Linked DNA regions of Canis lupus familiaris. The protein of the gene in region 1 interacts with the protein of each later gene in a pairwise test. Links are inferred from orthologs where the notes say so. Each region holds a gene or a part of one and is shown in the gene's direction. Other genes may lie near its edges.

The links. The genes of interacting proteins can lie anywhere in the genome.
Region 2: the proteins of CCHCR1 (region 1) and TXLNA interact in binary tests that used the Homo sapiens proteins (3 or more experiments, as listed by UniProt). The link is inferred for Canis lupus familiaris from reciprocal best matches to the Homo sapiens genes CCHCR1 and TXLNA.
Region 3: the proteins of CCHCR1 (region 1) and HSBP1 interact in binary tests that used the Homo sapiens proteins (3 or more experiments, as listed by UniProt). The link is inferred for Canis lupus familiaris from reciprocal best matches to the Homo sapiens genes CCHCR1 and HSBP1.

Annotation. Positions count from the first base shown.
Region 1 is NC_049233.1:991,470-995,487, reverse strand, and holds the start of CCHCR1 (coiled-coil alpha-helical rod protein 1), read left to right. Parts: upstream 1-1,218; 5' UTR 1,219-1,684; coding exon 1,685-1,900; intron 1,901-2,095; exon of another isoform or gene 2,096-2,161; coding exon 2,162-2,228; intron 2,229-2,306; coding exon 2,307-2,520; intron 2,521-3,982; coding exon 3,983-4,018. UniProt on the Homo sapiens protein: May be a regulator of keratinocyte proliferation or differentiation.
Region 2 is NC_049223.1:68,417,488-68,422,357, reverse strand, and holds the start of TXLNA (alpha-taxilin), read left to right. Parts: upstream 1-1,604; 5' UTR 1,605-1,753; intron 1,754-2,291; 5' UTR 2,292-2,323; coding exon 2,324-2,501; intron 2,502-3,134; coding exon 3,135-3,473; intron 3,474-4,870. UniProt on the Homo sapiens protein: May be involved in intracellular vesicle traffic and potentially in calcium-dependent exocytosis in neuroendocrine cells.
Region 3 is NC_049226.1:68,974,379-68,979,249, reverse strand, and holds the start of HSBP1 (heat shock factor-binding protein 1), read left to right. Parts: upstream 1-1,605; 5' UTR 1,606-1,725; coding exon 1,726-1,770; intron 1,771-2,107; coding exon 2,108-2,174; intron 2,175-2,705; coding exon 2,706-2,824; 3' UTR 2,825-2,826; intron 2,827-3,926; exon of another isoform or gene 3,927-4,130; intron 4,131-4,293; 3' UTR 4,294-4,871. UniProt on the Homo sapiens protein: Negative regulator of the heat shock response. Negatively affects HSF1 DNA-binding activity. May have a role in the suppression of the activation of the stress response during the aging process.

The DNA of each region.
Region 1 (4,018 bases):
GTGGTAAAACTCAGAGGAGAACCCAGGCCTGAGTAGTGCAACTTCAGAGTGCAGGGCGCCTAGGCACGGGATACAAACAAAACTGTCAAGCAGCTTTGCAACCGAAGAATTCGGGGAAGGTCCCAGTGCAGCGCAGAGAGGAACACGTCCTGTGGCACCTTGGTGGAGCCGGATCCTCAGGCTGCCCCAGGTATTCAGGAGACTCAATCTGTGCAAGGCAACAACACATTAGGCGCCTCCCAGGGAAATGCAGTCTGTAGATGGGTGTATGGGATTCCTGCTCTGTACCACACTACCTTGTCACCTCTGTAATTTGTAGAAAAGAAGCTTCCTATCAGACTTGCTTATCCAAATCGAGTAACCGTCCTGCTCGCCCGCGCCGCCTCGCCCTTCAGGCCAATCCCTCTCACAACCAGTTCCCTTTAACCCCAGCGGGAGGCGAATCCACTGTCCCCCAACAGACAGTGAAGACGGTCCCTCGGTTCTCCAGCAAAGCGAAGCTAAGCCCCGGCTTCCCGGCTTCTCCGGGCGCGGCGCAAAGGGGAAGGGGCTCCCGCGGTCAGGCAGGGCCGCCCCAGGCCTTCCCTCCCGTGCCCGGCCTGGTGCCCACCTACCGCGAGCAGCCTCCACGTGCCGTCCCCCGCAGGCAGTGCCCGAGCTCGCGCGCGGCCGCCGGGTGACAGCGGGGAGGCCGGGGGGGGGGGGGGGGGCGTGGCCTCCGCGCGCGGGCAGCGCCTGGCCCGCCTTCCGAGTTCCCGGGCCCGAGCTCGGAGCGACGAGCCCCCACCGGCCCTCCTGGTTGGCCGCTTCCGTTGCCCCCCGCCGCTCCATTGGCCGGCGCTCTGGAGAGCTCCGATTTCCCGCCTTCCGCCTCTCCTGATTAGTTCTCCTGTTTTCCCGGGTTCCCGGAGTTGGGAGGGGCCGCGGGCGCGCGGAGGCGTCCCCCACGGCCTGGGGCCTGGGGCCTGGGGCCTGGGGCCTGGGGCCTGGCTTTAGACCCCACTGCGCCTGCGTGCCCTTCCCCTCCCCCCCTCCCCCGGCGGCCCGCCGAGCCGCCCGCTCTGCGCAGGCGCGGTGGCCGCGCCCGGGGCGAGGGCCAGGGGTGGTGGCTGGAGGGCGGAGGGCGGAGGGCCTCGCGCTCGGTAAGGGGCGTTCGGGAAGAGTCGGTTGGGGGGCGGGAAGGGGCCGACAGGGGGTTCGGGGTGGGCTCAGGGGTCCATAGGGGAAGAGGGGCACAGGGACCAGGGGAAGGAGCAGATGAAGTGGTCCCAACGGCCTTAGAGCCCCGGGTCCAGCAGGGGAAGGCTCGGGTATCGGGGGAGACGCGGGAGTGGAAAGAGCTGGGAGCCTGCAGGCGTGCAGTTGGGAGGGGATGCGGCCGTGAGGGACCAGAGTAACGCTTTCAGGAAGGAGCAGATGAGGCTGTAGGGAGGGTGATAGGAATCCCAGGCAGGGAGACTAGGTGCGTTCTGGTGGGAGGGTAGGGAGACCTTGAAAAGACCTCTCGTGTTCTGGACCCCGGAGAGAGGACGGTAGGCGGCAGGAATGGCAGCTGAGGGCATAGAAGAGGGAAACTGAGGACAGCGGCCGGAAGGCTCTGGATGAGATGTCAGGAAATTGTTTTTTCGGCCAAGGGGTCTAGGCTGCCTGTTCCCAGGGGACCTGGGCAGGTGTCCTGCCCTACATGTGGCCACATTCATCTGGGCCCAGGCCTTGGGCCAGTGCTTTAATAGGGAAGGACCCAGGAGTCATGGCTTGGTGGTGTCTGGATGGGCTTCCAGAAGGCCTTGCTGAGCCATGGAGAAAACTCTGGAGATTGGGCTCACAGCCCCTGCACTGCGTACCTCCTTTCTCACCTCCGGCAAGGAAAGGCAGAGGCCGTAGAAACTTAAAGAAGAGGGTAAAGGCTTCCCAGAATTCTAAAAGTAGGAGTAAAGTCTAAGAGCTTCCTCTCGGCCTGCCTTAATTACCTCCATCTCATGGTTATTGCCATAGTTCTTCTATCAGGAACCAGGTTGGGTCAAGCAAGTGATCTTCGGGTATTTCCTACTTCTCTTGCGAAGTTACTAAAGGATTATGACTTTTGTTATTGTAGGGGCTTTCTCTTTGGAAGGTGGCCTGAAAATTGAACTGGGGTGTCCTTGTTTCTCCTATTGTCCAGGGAAACATAGATGGCTGGACACAGAATCTAGAGACTTCAGATAATGTGGAGATGTTTCAACCTTCAGGTCAGTGGGCCCAGGCAAGGGGACTGGTGATTGCCTTTCCTTAGAAAACTGACCATCTGTGTCCTTGTGATTCCTCAGGTTCCACTGGGTTGATTCCCCCATCCCACTTCCAAGCTCATCCCCTTCCAACTGTACCAAGAATGGCTCCCACCTGGGTTTCAGACATTCCCCTGGTCCAAACCTCAGCCCATCAAGATGTCTCAGAGAGGCGGCCAGACAACCAGAGACCTCAAGTGATCACGTGGGAACAGGATGTTTCTGGCAATGGGCAGGAGCTGGGGCGGAGAGGCAGGTAGGGATTCATTGTTGCTCTTTTCTTGGGCTTGCTTGCCAGTGACCCTTTTTCACTGAAATAGATTCCTTACCCTGTTTCAGCCCTTAGTTCCCTAACTTGTGCATTTTTGCATAAGCAACTCCTGGAGCTTAAGGATAAAGGATAAGGCATAAAGGATAAGGCAATGTGCTCGATGCTACAAATGGGGATAATGAAAATGAATGAGATCCTGATAGCAATGATTTAAAAGCCCTAAGGGAAGAGGTAGATTGACCAGCAGCTGATAGCAATGAGCAACATATAGGGTGAGAGAAAGAAGTACAAACCAGGAGTATAGGCTGTACTGTGGTAGCGTGGATTCTGATGGAGGACTTGCCTTTAGAGCTGACCGTGCTATTTGCCAATGTTTTTCTATAAAAATTGTGATTCTTACTCTTGATGTTTCGTCATGTGTCTCTTCTCAAATGTACTGGAATGTCATTCTGCCATTTTGCTCTAGAGTGGGGCTGCAGATGGGTCTGCCTTGGACCCCGTCCAAGAGAAAGGAGCATGATGATGAAAAGGGGAGAGCCCCAGAGTGGGTGTCAGGAGACAGAGACTCTGATGCTAGTTTGGCTACCAACTAGGGTCCTTTGGCCAGTTAATATCTCTAGGCTGTAGGGACGCCTGGGTGGCTCAGTGGTTAAGTGTCTGCCTTTGGCTCAGGGCATGATCCTGGAGTCCCAGGATCGAGTCCCACATCAGGCTCCCTGCATGGAGCCTGCTTCTTCTGCCTGTGTCTCTACATCTGTCTCTCCGTGTCTCTCATGAATAAATAAAATCTTAAAAAAAAAAAAATATCTCTAGGCTGTAGATCCCCACCATTTTAAAAGAAAAATCCTGTGGTTCTGGGCCTCAGTGGAGGAGGTGTGTCAAGATCCATGTTATCGTAAGCTCGTTTAAACTTTACAAGACACCAGTGGTCTATGTAACTTATTAATGTGCTGTCGACTCCTGGATACAGGATAGATACAGGATATCTAACACTCAATAAAGGCTTTTAATTAGTGCCTGGTCTCACTGTATTGATACTAGAAGCCATGATGACCTGTCTTTCTCTGAAACTTCCTCCAACTTTTCCTTACCCTTAAATCAGAATTCAGAAGTCTCTGGGTGTCTTCCAATCTCTATTTCAGAATGTGGGGCCTAATGATGTGCGTGTTTGATGCATCTGCCTGTATGTAGTTCAAAAGAGATCATGTTCCGTGAACTCAAGTAGCCTTTAGGTCCTGTGAGTGCCACTAGTGAGCCTAATATGCTTAGGACTGCCATGATAAATGACAGTGATGATGCAAATGCAGAGATTCCCCTGGCCCACCTTCATCCTCCCTCCCCCCATCTCCTCATACAGTAGCAGAAGGATCCTCCTCCTCTCTCTGTTTGTGACCTCCACCACCCTCCCAGCACCAGACAGGTCTCACCTGTGCTAACCTCTTTGAAGGTCTGTGGAGATAGAGGGGTCACAGGCCCTGAGCCA
Region 2 (4,870 bases), on another chromosome or scaffold:
CCATCAAGGCCTGATTATATGTAACCTCAAGAGATTTCCAACATGTTTTTTCTGGAAATAATCAGGGCCTTTGAAAGACCTGGATTCCAAGCATTTCTGGCTTGAGTTCCACCTTCATACTATATCATATTGCCTCTCAATGTTAGTTGATAAACAGCAGACTAAGGGATGGGGAAGAGCACTGGCCATAAGTCTAACTGGGGAAAATAATTGAACATCTTTAAGAGCCCCCACACTGTTCAATTTGCATGATTTCATTCTGTCTTCACTGCCCCAGACTGATGCTAGGCTTTAGGAATACAATTTAGCCAAGAGTTCTTGTAATGTTCATTGACTTGTAAGCAAATAATTTGAATATCTCATTACAAATGTTAAAGAGTTCTATCCAAAAAAAAAAAAAAAGGCTCTATCCAGACCTAGAGAGCTGGGACAGACTACAGAGCACTGGGAAGGGTCTGAAATGACCTTTGTGCTAGACCTCAAAATACTAGTTTTGCCAGAAGGGCATTTTGGAAACTGGACTAGCACCTGCAAAAAACTTGGAAATCCTGGAAATAGAGTATAGTGGGAGCAAAAAAGGCAAAGGGCATGGACAGAACTGACTGGAAACAAAAGCCAAGCCATTTACACATTAAATTCCAGGCACAGGGGTTGGTAGCTTTTATTCTATTATGTATAGACAGCTGAATATAGAACTGTGATCTCACATTTAGAGAAAGTTTGGGTTTTTCCCCTTGAGCCCATGGCAATTCCGATTTTGTCTGTAGAGGATGGGCCAGTCAGAGAAAATGTTCAGGAATTGGCTGAGGCCAAAGTTCTTGCAGAGCCCTGTCAACCCCTTCCAGAGAAGGACTCAAGCTGGTAACGCAGAGTTGGGGCGGGTGGGGGGAATAATTCCACCAAATTACCTTGACTCATCCTTTGAGAAAGTGCCATGGTGAATTTCTTCTGGGTACGAGTCAGGGTAATCCAGGAGGTAAAACGGAAGACTTTCTGATTTTGAATCCCTACTCACTACTCAATAGCGATGGGACAAGTTATTTAACTTTTGCCTTACTGTCCTCAGATGCAAATGGGAATAAAAAATAGTACTGAGCTTAGTAAATAGGCGGATTAAGCTAGTAGGTGGGAAAGCACACTGTAAGCAAAGAACTACTACTGTTATGAAAAGTTTTCATTTGAATACGGAAAATGAGGCCTGGGAAAGAAAAGAATGGCCCCTCAGCGAATTCGCGATGAAGTTAGAACTGGAATACAGGTCTTGATTCCCAGCCCAATGCTCTATCCCTTGTCATCAGAGTTCCTGGTCATAGATGTTCACAGCAGAGGGTTGAGGCTGGTAAGGGCGTGCGGGAAAGAACAGCCAGGCACAGGGCTCTGGACCTGAATCATAAATTCTGCACGACAGGAACCAGGCGGATTCCAGTATTCGTGCAGAATGACTAGCTCCTTTCAGACCTCCTGGGTATCCGCCTCCCAGGACTGAAGTCCTTTCTATTGCATCTTGGGAGTTGGGGGTCAGCCGCGGTGCATGGAGGGACATGTAGTCCTTTCCCTCCCCCTCCGCCTGCCCAACTCACCCGCCTCAAAGGCCGCCTCAGGCTGCCTTCGCTTCATCTTTCCCAGCAAGCCCCGCGAGAGCGCCGGCTATTGATTGGCTGTGGCAGGAGCAGGCGGCTTGGCCGGCAGCGGTTACCCAGGGTTTCCGGTGCGAGGCCAGAGCGGGCGAAGCCGTCAGGAGGTCGGCAGTGAGGTGCGTGTTGCGGAGGTTTGGGGGGAACAAGGCGACCAGCAGGTCGGTGGGCCTGAACACTCTCGGTCGGTGGAGGGAATCACGCCGATTCCGCGCGAGGGAGTGGGCTGGGGGGGGCAGGGCTGGTCCTGTGCGCATGCGCGGACGGGAGGCGCGCGGGGCGTGGGTGGCTGCGCGCGGGGGGGCCCACGTGGGGCTTGGGGGCCGGAGGAGGGATGGGAATCGAGCGTCCCGCCACGTCAGTCTCCGGCCCTGAGCCTATCCCGCGCTCGGCCTGTGGTAAGGGGGCTGTGTAGTGCCGGGAAGCGGCTTCGAGAAAAAGGAGGCCTCGCCTGCCGCGCTTCTGAAGCAGCGCCCCGAAAACCTGCCTGGGCGCGCCGTGCTCCTCCGACTGGCCAGAGAGAGAACCGTTGGCTCCCTCTGGTGAGGGACGGCCAGTGTGTCCTAAGAAGCTTTGTGCACCCGGGATTGGGATTTCGGATCCAGGCTGTGAAGAATTTTGAAGTCTGGAATATAGCGAGTGTGCTTGTTTCTATAGGATCTGTTTCCAGCCTAGCATTGCAAACCACAATGAAGAACCAAGACAAAAAGAACGGGGCTGCCAAGCAGTCGGGCAACACTTCCAACCCAAAAAGCAACCCGGGGCAAGCCGAAGTAGGACCAGAGGGAACCCAGGGGCGCCCCAGCCAGCCGGCTCCTGCGACAGAAGCTGAAGGTTCCTCCAGCCAGGCTCCAGGGAAGACTGAGGGTGTGTGCCATTTCTGCTTTCCAGCGGGCAGGGGGAGGAGTTTGTGGTGCGCCAGGATAGCTTCTGGAGTTCCAGGCCTAGGCCACTGTTTACCCAGGAAGGAGGAAATGTAGAATGAGAGGAGGACTGCCACCCGCAGATCCCTCTTTCCCCAGGGTGTTGATAGAGCCTCCCACTCAAAGCACAGGAGCAGAACTCTTAAGAGAAGGCTCTGACAGGGTTAAGTCAGGTGGCGCTCAGATGAGACACCCAACCAGCTAGCCCGGCTTAGAAATGCTGCATTCACCAGTGGGCAACTACTCTTCATGTTGGAGGCTTTCTTAGAACTTTTTTAATAGCAAGAAATGATTTTTGCAGGGAGGGGAAAGGGAGGGACTAGATGTTGAGCTCCAGGTACATGCCATCCCTATATGCTGGATGCTTTATTTCCTTGATTCCTTTCACATCTATAACAGACATGATTGGGCAATAGTGGGAAATAATCTTATTTTATGGGTAAATAAACTAAGGCTTAAAGAAAGTAGGCAACATTTAGCCCCAACCAGTAAGTTTGGGCCTGAAAAATCCCAGCAAATGGAATTAACCATCTTGTTTCTCATTTCTCATTCTGCCGCTCATCTTGCCCTGCCACAGGAGCACAAGCCAAAACTGCTCAGTCCGGGGCCCTCCGTGATGTCTCTGAGGAGCTGAGCCGCCAGTTGGAAGACATCCTGAGTACATACTGTGTGGACAACAATCAGGGGGGCCCAGGTGAGGATGGGGCACAGGGTGAGCCTGCTGAACCCGAAGATGCAGACAAGTCCCGGACCTATGCTTCAAGGAATGGGGAGCCTGAGCCAGAGACCCCAGTGGTCAATGGTGAGAAGGAGACCTCCAAGGGGGAGCCGGGCACAGATGAGATCCGGACCAGTGACGAGGTTGGAGACCGAGATCACCGAAGGCCACAGGAGAAGAAGAAAGCCAAGGGTCTGGGTGAGCAGAGGGCAGCTACTGGTGAGGTGGGGATGTTTGGGCTAACCTGCTGTCCCAGGATTCAGAGGAAATTACTTTCTGGAGCACCGAGTCACATTAGTTTGATCCAAGCAAGGGGTGTGGACCGTAGAACAGAGGGGTGTAGATGGGATCCTGTGTCAGCCAACACTATCTCTAACCTGCTCTGTAAACTTGGGCAAGACCTTTCTCCTTTCTGTTCCTTAGTTTTCGTTTCTCTACAGTAAGATTTGGACTAGCCCAGGGTTGAAAACACAAATAAGCCAAGTTAGACAGGGGACCCTAGGAGGACAAGACATTGCCTACTTCATCCAAAGGGGTGATTGCCATCTGGTCCCACCATGCTGATAGCATATAATACTACAGGCTAAGTGTAGCCAGCCTTTTTTTTTTTTTCCCCCCCTCATTCTTTTTTCTCCTTTTTTCCCCTTTGTTATTATGCAGTTAAGTGAAATCTCTCTGGATTTTTAACAATTGGCAACTGAAGAAAAAAAAAAAAAAAACAATTGACAACTAATATGCTGGGAGCCAAACAAAACTCGTGTGGGTTTTGGCCTACGTGCTAGTGCTTTGCAGTCTCCACACTGATCTTTCGAGCCTCTTGGGTTTGACACTTCAGGAGCCTGGTGCTGTGCTATGTACAGGAGCCCTCCAGGGAGACAGAAGGAAGCCCCTTTGACTGAAGCACAGTGAGAGAAAGTTATTGGGGGCAGGGGACTAGTGTGTATGTTAAAGAATCAGAGTTAAGTGATATTATACCTGTGTCTTAGTCCTTAATTCCCCACCCTCTGTTTGTCATCCTAATGGAAAGGGTTTTTTTTGTTTGTTTTTGGTTTTATTTTGTTTTGTTTTTTAAGATTTTATTTATTTACTCATGAGAAACACAGAGAGAGAGGCAGAGACACAGGCAGAGGGAGAAGCAGGCACCATGCAGGGAGCCCGATGCGGGACTCGATCCAGGGGACTCCAGGATCACTCCCTGAGCCAAAGGCAGACGCTCAGCTGCTGAGCTGCTAAGCCACCCAGGCATCCCTGTTGTTTATTAATCTTGGGATCACATATCGGAAGATATATTTGTTTAAAAGTTCACTGTTTAGGAGGGAACAAATAAAGTTCACTCTTTGGCTACCACTGTTGACAAATGTTTAGTAGTTACCGAGGAAACCTATTCCTTTTTGCCTCCTTCCTCTTTCGAAAGGGCTTTCCTTGCATTGACACAGTAGCACTTAAATTGGCCATTGGGATGTCTTTTTTTTTCCTCCTGCTATTAGAGCAGGCAGGTTTTTTCTCCCACTCTCAGTGTTCACCATGGAGTCTCCACATAGACTCAGTTATTAGTCTATTAAGCATTTGTTGAGCATGTCGTCTGAGATGGGCAC
Region 3 (4,871 bases), on another chromosome or scaffold:
AACACTTAATAAAATACCAAGTATGATACCGATTTCAAGTGGTATTACTTTACCAACTGCTTTGGGTTGAGTCTCCCCACCAAAAAGACATGTTGGAACCTGCCCCCTAGTACCTCAGAACATAATTTATTTGGAAACAGAGTCTCTGCAGATATAAAAACCTAAGAGGAGGTCATATGGGAGTAGGGTCGGTCCCAAATCCAACATGACTGGTGACCTTATATAGAGAGAGATACACACACGGGGAGAAGGCCACATGAAGACAGAGGCAGAGATGGGCGGAATGCATCTGCGAGCTAAGGACACCAAGATTTGCCAGCAGCCATCAGAAGCTAGGAGAAAGGCATGGAACAACTTGTACCTCACAGCCCTCAGAAGGAACCCACCCCGATGGCACCTTGATTCCAGACTCCTGGTCTCCAGAACTGTGGGAATATAAATGTCTATTGTTTTAAGCCACCCAGTTTGTGGTACTCTGTCGCAGCTGCCCCAGGAAACTAATGCCCGTGTCAATATATAAGGAGGAAAATTCCCAAGAAATGCCCCAATCGAAAATAAATTCATACTTGAAGACTGAGTCAACAGAATTCTATGCAGCGTCTGTAGATTCTTCTAAAGCTACTGGTTCTCCACTGAGGATGACGACCTCCCCACCCCCCCAATTCGTGCAGACAGTGGGCAGTATCTAGGGATCTTTTTGGTCGTCACACTGCATGGGGGGTGAGGGGGGTGCCACTGGCATCTGGTGGGAAGAAGTGAGAGAAGCTGCTCAGCATCCTACAAAGTGCTGGGCCCAGTGCACCCCCCACCAGCAACTCGAGGTCCCAGCTCAGCAGCACCCCTCCTTAAACACCTAAGTCCACTCTCTGGACCCTGCAGCTGACCTCCCCTTGCCCAAACCAGAGACCTTCCCCACTGCACACCCCCGACCCTCGAACCTCGTGTTGCACGAAAGAAGCCGGCGCTCGGGAGGCGCTCATTCCATTTACACCAAGTGGAAACACAGCAAAACAAACGATCGTGTTAAAACCGAGGACACTGGTGGCCCCGGTGGGTGGGTTGGGGGGGGGGGGGGGTTGGAAAGAAGCTGACGGGCTCCCCTGGAGGCTGGGGGTGATTCTTGACCTGGAGAGTTGGCTAACACCAGCTGAGGTGGACTGAGGATGTCTACACCACCCAGACATATGCTACACTTAAATCAAAAGTTAAAAACCACCTGCCCCCTGCGCCGGCACCTCCACGGACGTCGTGGGATCAGGGCCGTGACCGGACCTGCAGCCGGGCAGCTGGGCACGCGGGGCGCGCGCCTCTCACACGCGGCCTCAGTGTCCCCTCCGGTGACCCGACCCCTGCTCCCTCCCGCGGGTTTGCGGGGCTCTGTCGGAGCACAGGCGGCGGCGCAGGCCAGGCCACCGGCCGCTGCAGCCGACCCCGCGGCAGGGCGGGTCCCCTCCGCTCTCCGCCGCGGCTCGGCGAGGGGCGGGGCCTCCGGGGGGCGGGGCCAGGCCGGGCGAGAGGGTGGGGGCGGGCCCCGCGCGGAACGGGAACGCGAGAGCACAGGCCCTTCCGGCGTGTGCCGCGAACTACGACTCCCACAGCACCCTGCGGTCCCGCGGCTGGCCTCCGGCGTCGCGAGAGGAGGCCGCTGGGGGGCGGGGCGTGCGCGCGGACGGACGGAAGTGCAGGTGACGGTTGAGCTTCGCCGCCAAGCTGGGAACCGGGGAGATGGCCGAGACGGACCCCAAGACCGTGCAGGATCTCACCTCGGTGGTAAGGGACGCCCGTGGGGCCCGAGGCGCGCTGTCGGCGGCCGCGACGGCCCGCGTGTCCGGAGGCGCCGCGGGCCCAGCCTGCAGCCCCAGCCGCGCTCGCCCGACCCGGGCCGCCGCCGCCCGCGCGCCCAGCGCACACCCGAGCGAGCCGTGAGTCGCGGCAGCCGCCACGGGAGGGGGCCTCGCCGGGGCCCGGGGCGGGGCGGGGGCGGGGGCCGGAGCCGGAGCCGGAGCCGGGGCGGTCAGGGCGACCCCAGCTGGACGCCGCCCCGCCCCGCCCCGCGCGAGGGCCCCGGCGAGCGCCAGGTGCTCCGTGTCGCGTCTCCCCGTCTCAGGTGCAGACACTCCTGCAGCAGATGCAAGATAAATTTCAGACCATGTCCGACCAGATCATCGGAAGAAATATCCTTTGTATGTGTGGTCAGCCTCTGCGGGCCCCTGGCACCTGTGGCCCGGGCAGCGGTGTTGATAGGTGGTTGCAGGCCCGCTGCAGGCAGCCATGGGCCACGTACAAGTATGAGTAGTATTGTTAGTATTATTGTAACTGAGCCTGGGTGTGGTGCTCTGGCGGTTCTGTGCCAGGAGCTGAGGGCCCCCGAGCTGGCCCCCCGGCCCCCAGACGCCTCCAGTCGGCCGGCCGTGGCCTCGGGAGTGGCCGCGGGCCGTGAGCTGCGCGCTGGGTGCGGATCTCTGCTCCGGGCCCCGCCGCCACCTGATGAAGAAGTTGTAGGGGCGGCAGCTTAGGAAAGTGGAGGAGCTCGTCCAGGTCCCAGGACCCGTAAAGGGCCCCCGACTCCTTCACCGCCAGAATTTAGCCGTACTCCAAGGGAAGCCCAGTTTGGCTGAGACGGTTGTGTTTAAGGTCCCGGTGTCCCCAGCTCGGGAGCGAAAGGATGAGCAATGGCAGGTGTGTGTGGCCTTTAACTTCTCCACTTGATGACATGAGCAGTCGCATTGACGACCTGGAAAAAAACATTGCAGACCTCATGACCCAGGCTGGGGTGGAAGAGCTGGAGGGGGAGAACAAGATCCCTGCCACACCGAAGAGCTGAAGGTGAGGGGGTCGGCTGTCCCCGTCGGGCTGTCCCCGTCCGGGGCCTGCCACTGCAGTTAAGGAGGCCGGGCGTCCTCTCCATCAGCCCCCAGCCGGATCCCAGCAGGCGTCTCTCTGATTCTCCTGGCCTTTATTAAGTGGACCTATGTCCTTAGTAGTTAAGATGACTGGTTAACAGGCAGTCACTGAGTTTATGTCATTGCAGGCAAATACCAAGAAATGTGTTTTGTTGGCCTGAGAATTCTTACCACTGGCAGATTTATTTATTTATTTGTCTGTTTGTTTATTTTTTGTGACCAAAACCCCATATTGCCACCTTCAACTTCATAAGTGCCTTGAGTTCTGGGTTCTCCTGGGAACTCCCCCTGCGCTAGATAAATGACAGGACAACGCCTGATTATGACTCGAATGGATGAAGTTAGGCCGCAGTGAGCCTTCACCCGAGAGCCGCCTGGGGGCTCAGTCTGTTCAGCATCTACTTTCTGCTCAGGTCATGATCTCAGGCTCCTGGGATCGAGCCCCATGTCCAACTCCCTGCTCATGGGGAGTCGGCTTCACCCTCTCCCTCTGCCACTCTCTGTCCCTCAAGTAAATAAATCTTAATTTCCACTACATAGTTCCCAATATCTGATGAAAGACAGATAATCAACAATAGCCACATAGCGAGACAGCAAGATGTTGTGGGCCTCCGTAGTCTCCCCATGGTAGGTTTCTTCCTTATGAGCCTCTTCAGGAGTATGGTGGTTACCTCGCCGCAACCTAGAACTAATTTTGAAACTACCGTTTCTCTCATCCCATTTTTAGCATTTTAATTCCCTATAAAAACAAAGTTTACTGAGAATTTTTAGACCACTCTAGTACCAAGCAGAACATACAGTAAAAGGCACCAAATTCCTTTTTCAAAAGTTCTGGGCATGTCCTGGCTGAACCAGATTAGAAGTAGCTGTGGCATACAGGTCACTTTGAAGTCCAAGAAGAGACAGACTTGGGAGCGAAAAGACTTGGAAATTCACTGTCATTTTAACAAGAGATTGGGTTGACTCGCTGTGTGAGTAAATCACACACTTGTTATGTGTGGGTTGTCCTCTTTATTCCTGTAGAGAGATGATATGGAAAATGTCCTGCCAGCCTTAGAAGCTTCTCTGGGTCTCCTACCACCACATGGCGGTCAAAAGTCCCGTCAAGTGAGTGAGAACATCTGTGGAGAACTGCAGGATGGAGACTTTTCGAGTGACAGGGGTGATCAAGAGGAAGAGTTGCTGGGAATGGATTCAGAAGTTTTCAAATAAAGATTTCCAATTAAATCTGTTGTGATATCTTTGCTGGGGCATCGTGCAAAGGAAGTACATCATATGTCTAGTTCAGTAGAGGATTCTGGAAAGCTTTTTACCATTTGACAGTGGTACATGTCCATCTTCTCTGTCCTGGTGGGAGCATAATGTGTTGATGGTTTTTCTTTTCCAACAGGCAGCTAATTCACACTGAAGTCCGGAACAGCATTTTTACAAGCCGACAGAAGACCGAATGGCTTTCTGAAGCAACTGCTATGTGTAGACAGATTTTCTATTCTGAAGTGTGCGTTCTTCTTACAACATACTGTATAGTTAGTCTATATAGAGTGATCCTCTCCCCCAGTTTCTTGAACATGGTAATTCCACATCTTGGATCTTGGTCAGTCGTGCTGTTAAATATTAAACACTAAAACTTTGGCGGTTCCTGCATAAAATTGTCAAATTTTTTAGTGTATTTTTGTGAAGTCATTGTTTTCTATCATTCCTTTTGTAGTAGTTACTGTTTGATGAAAGTTGCTGTGTAATTTTTTATAGACATCTGGTAGACTCTTCAGTTATAATTAGATTTTGTGAAGTAAGACATTTGGCAAGTTGAGGGTTCTTTAATTCTCAGCACAGAGTGTTGAGCCAACACCAAATAGCATGTTGGTGATGCTTTTCAAATGGTTAAAAACATTTAAAAATTGGTGATTGAGAAATCTCTGGCACTACCCTGTTGCCAAAACTGAACACTGACCTGCAGGGTCATATCCC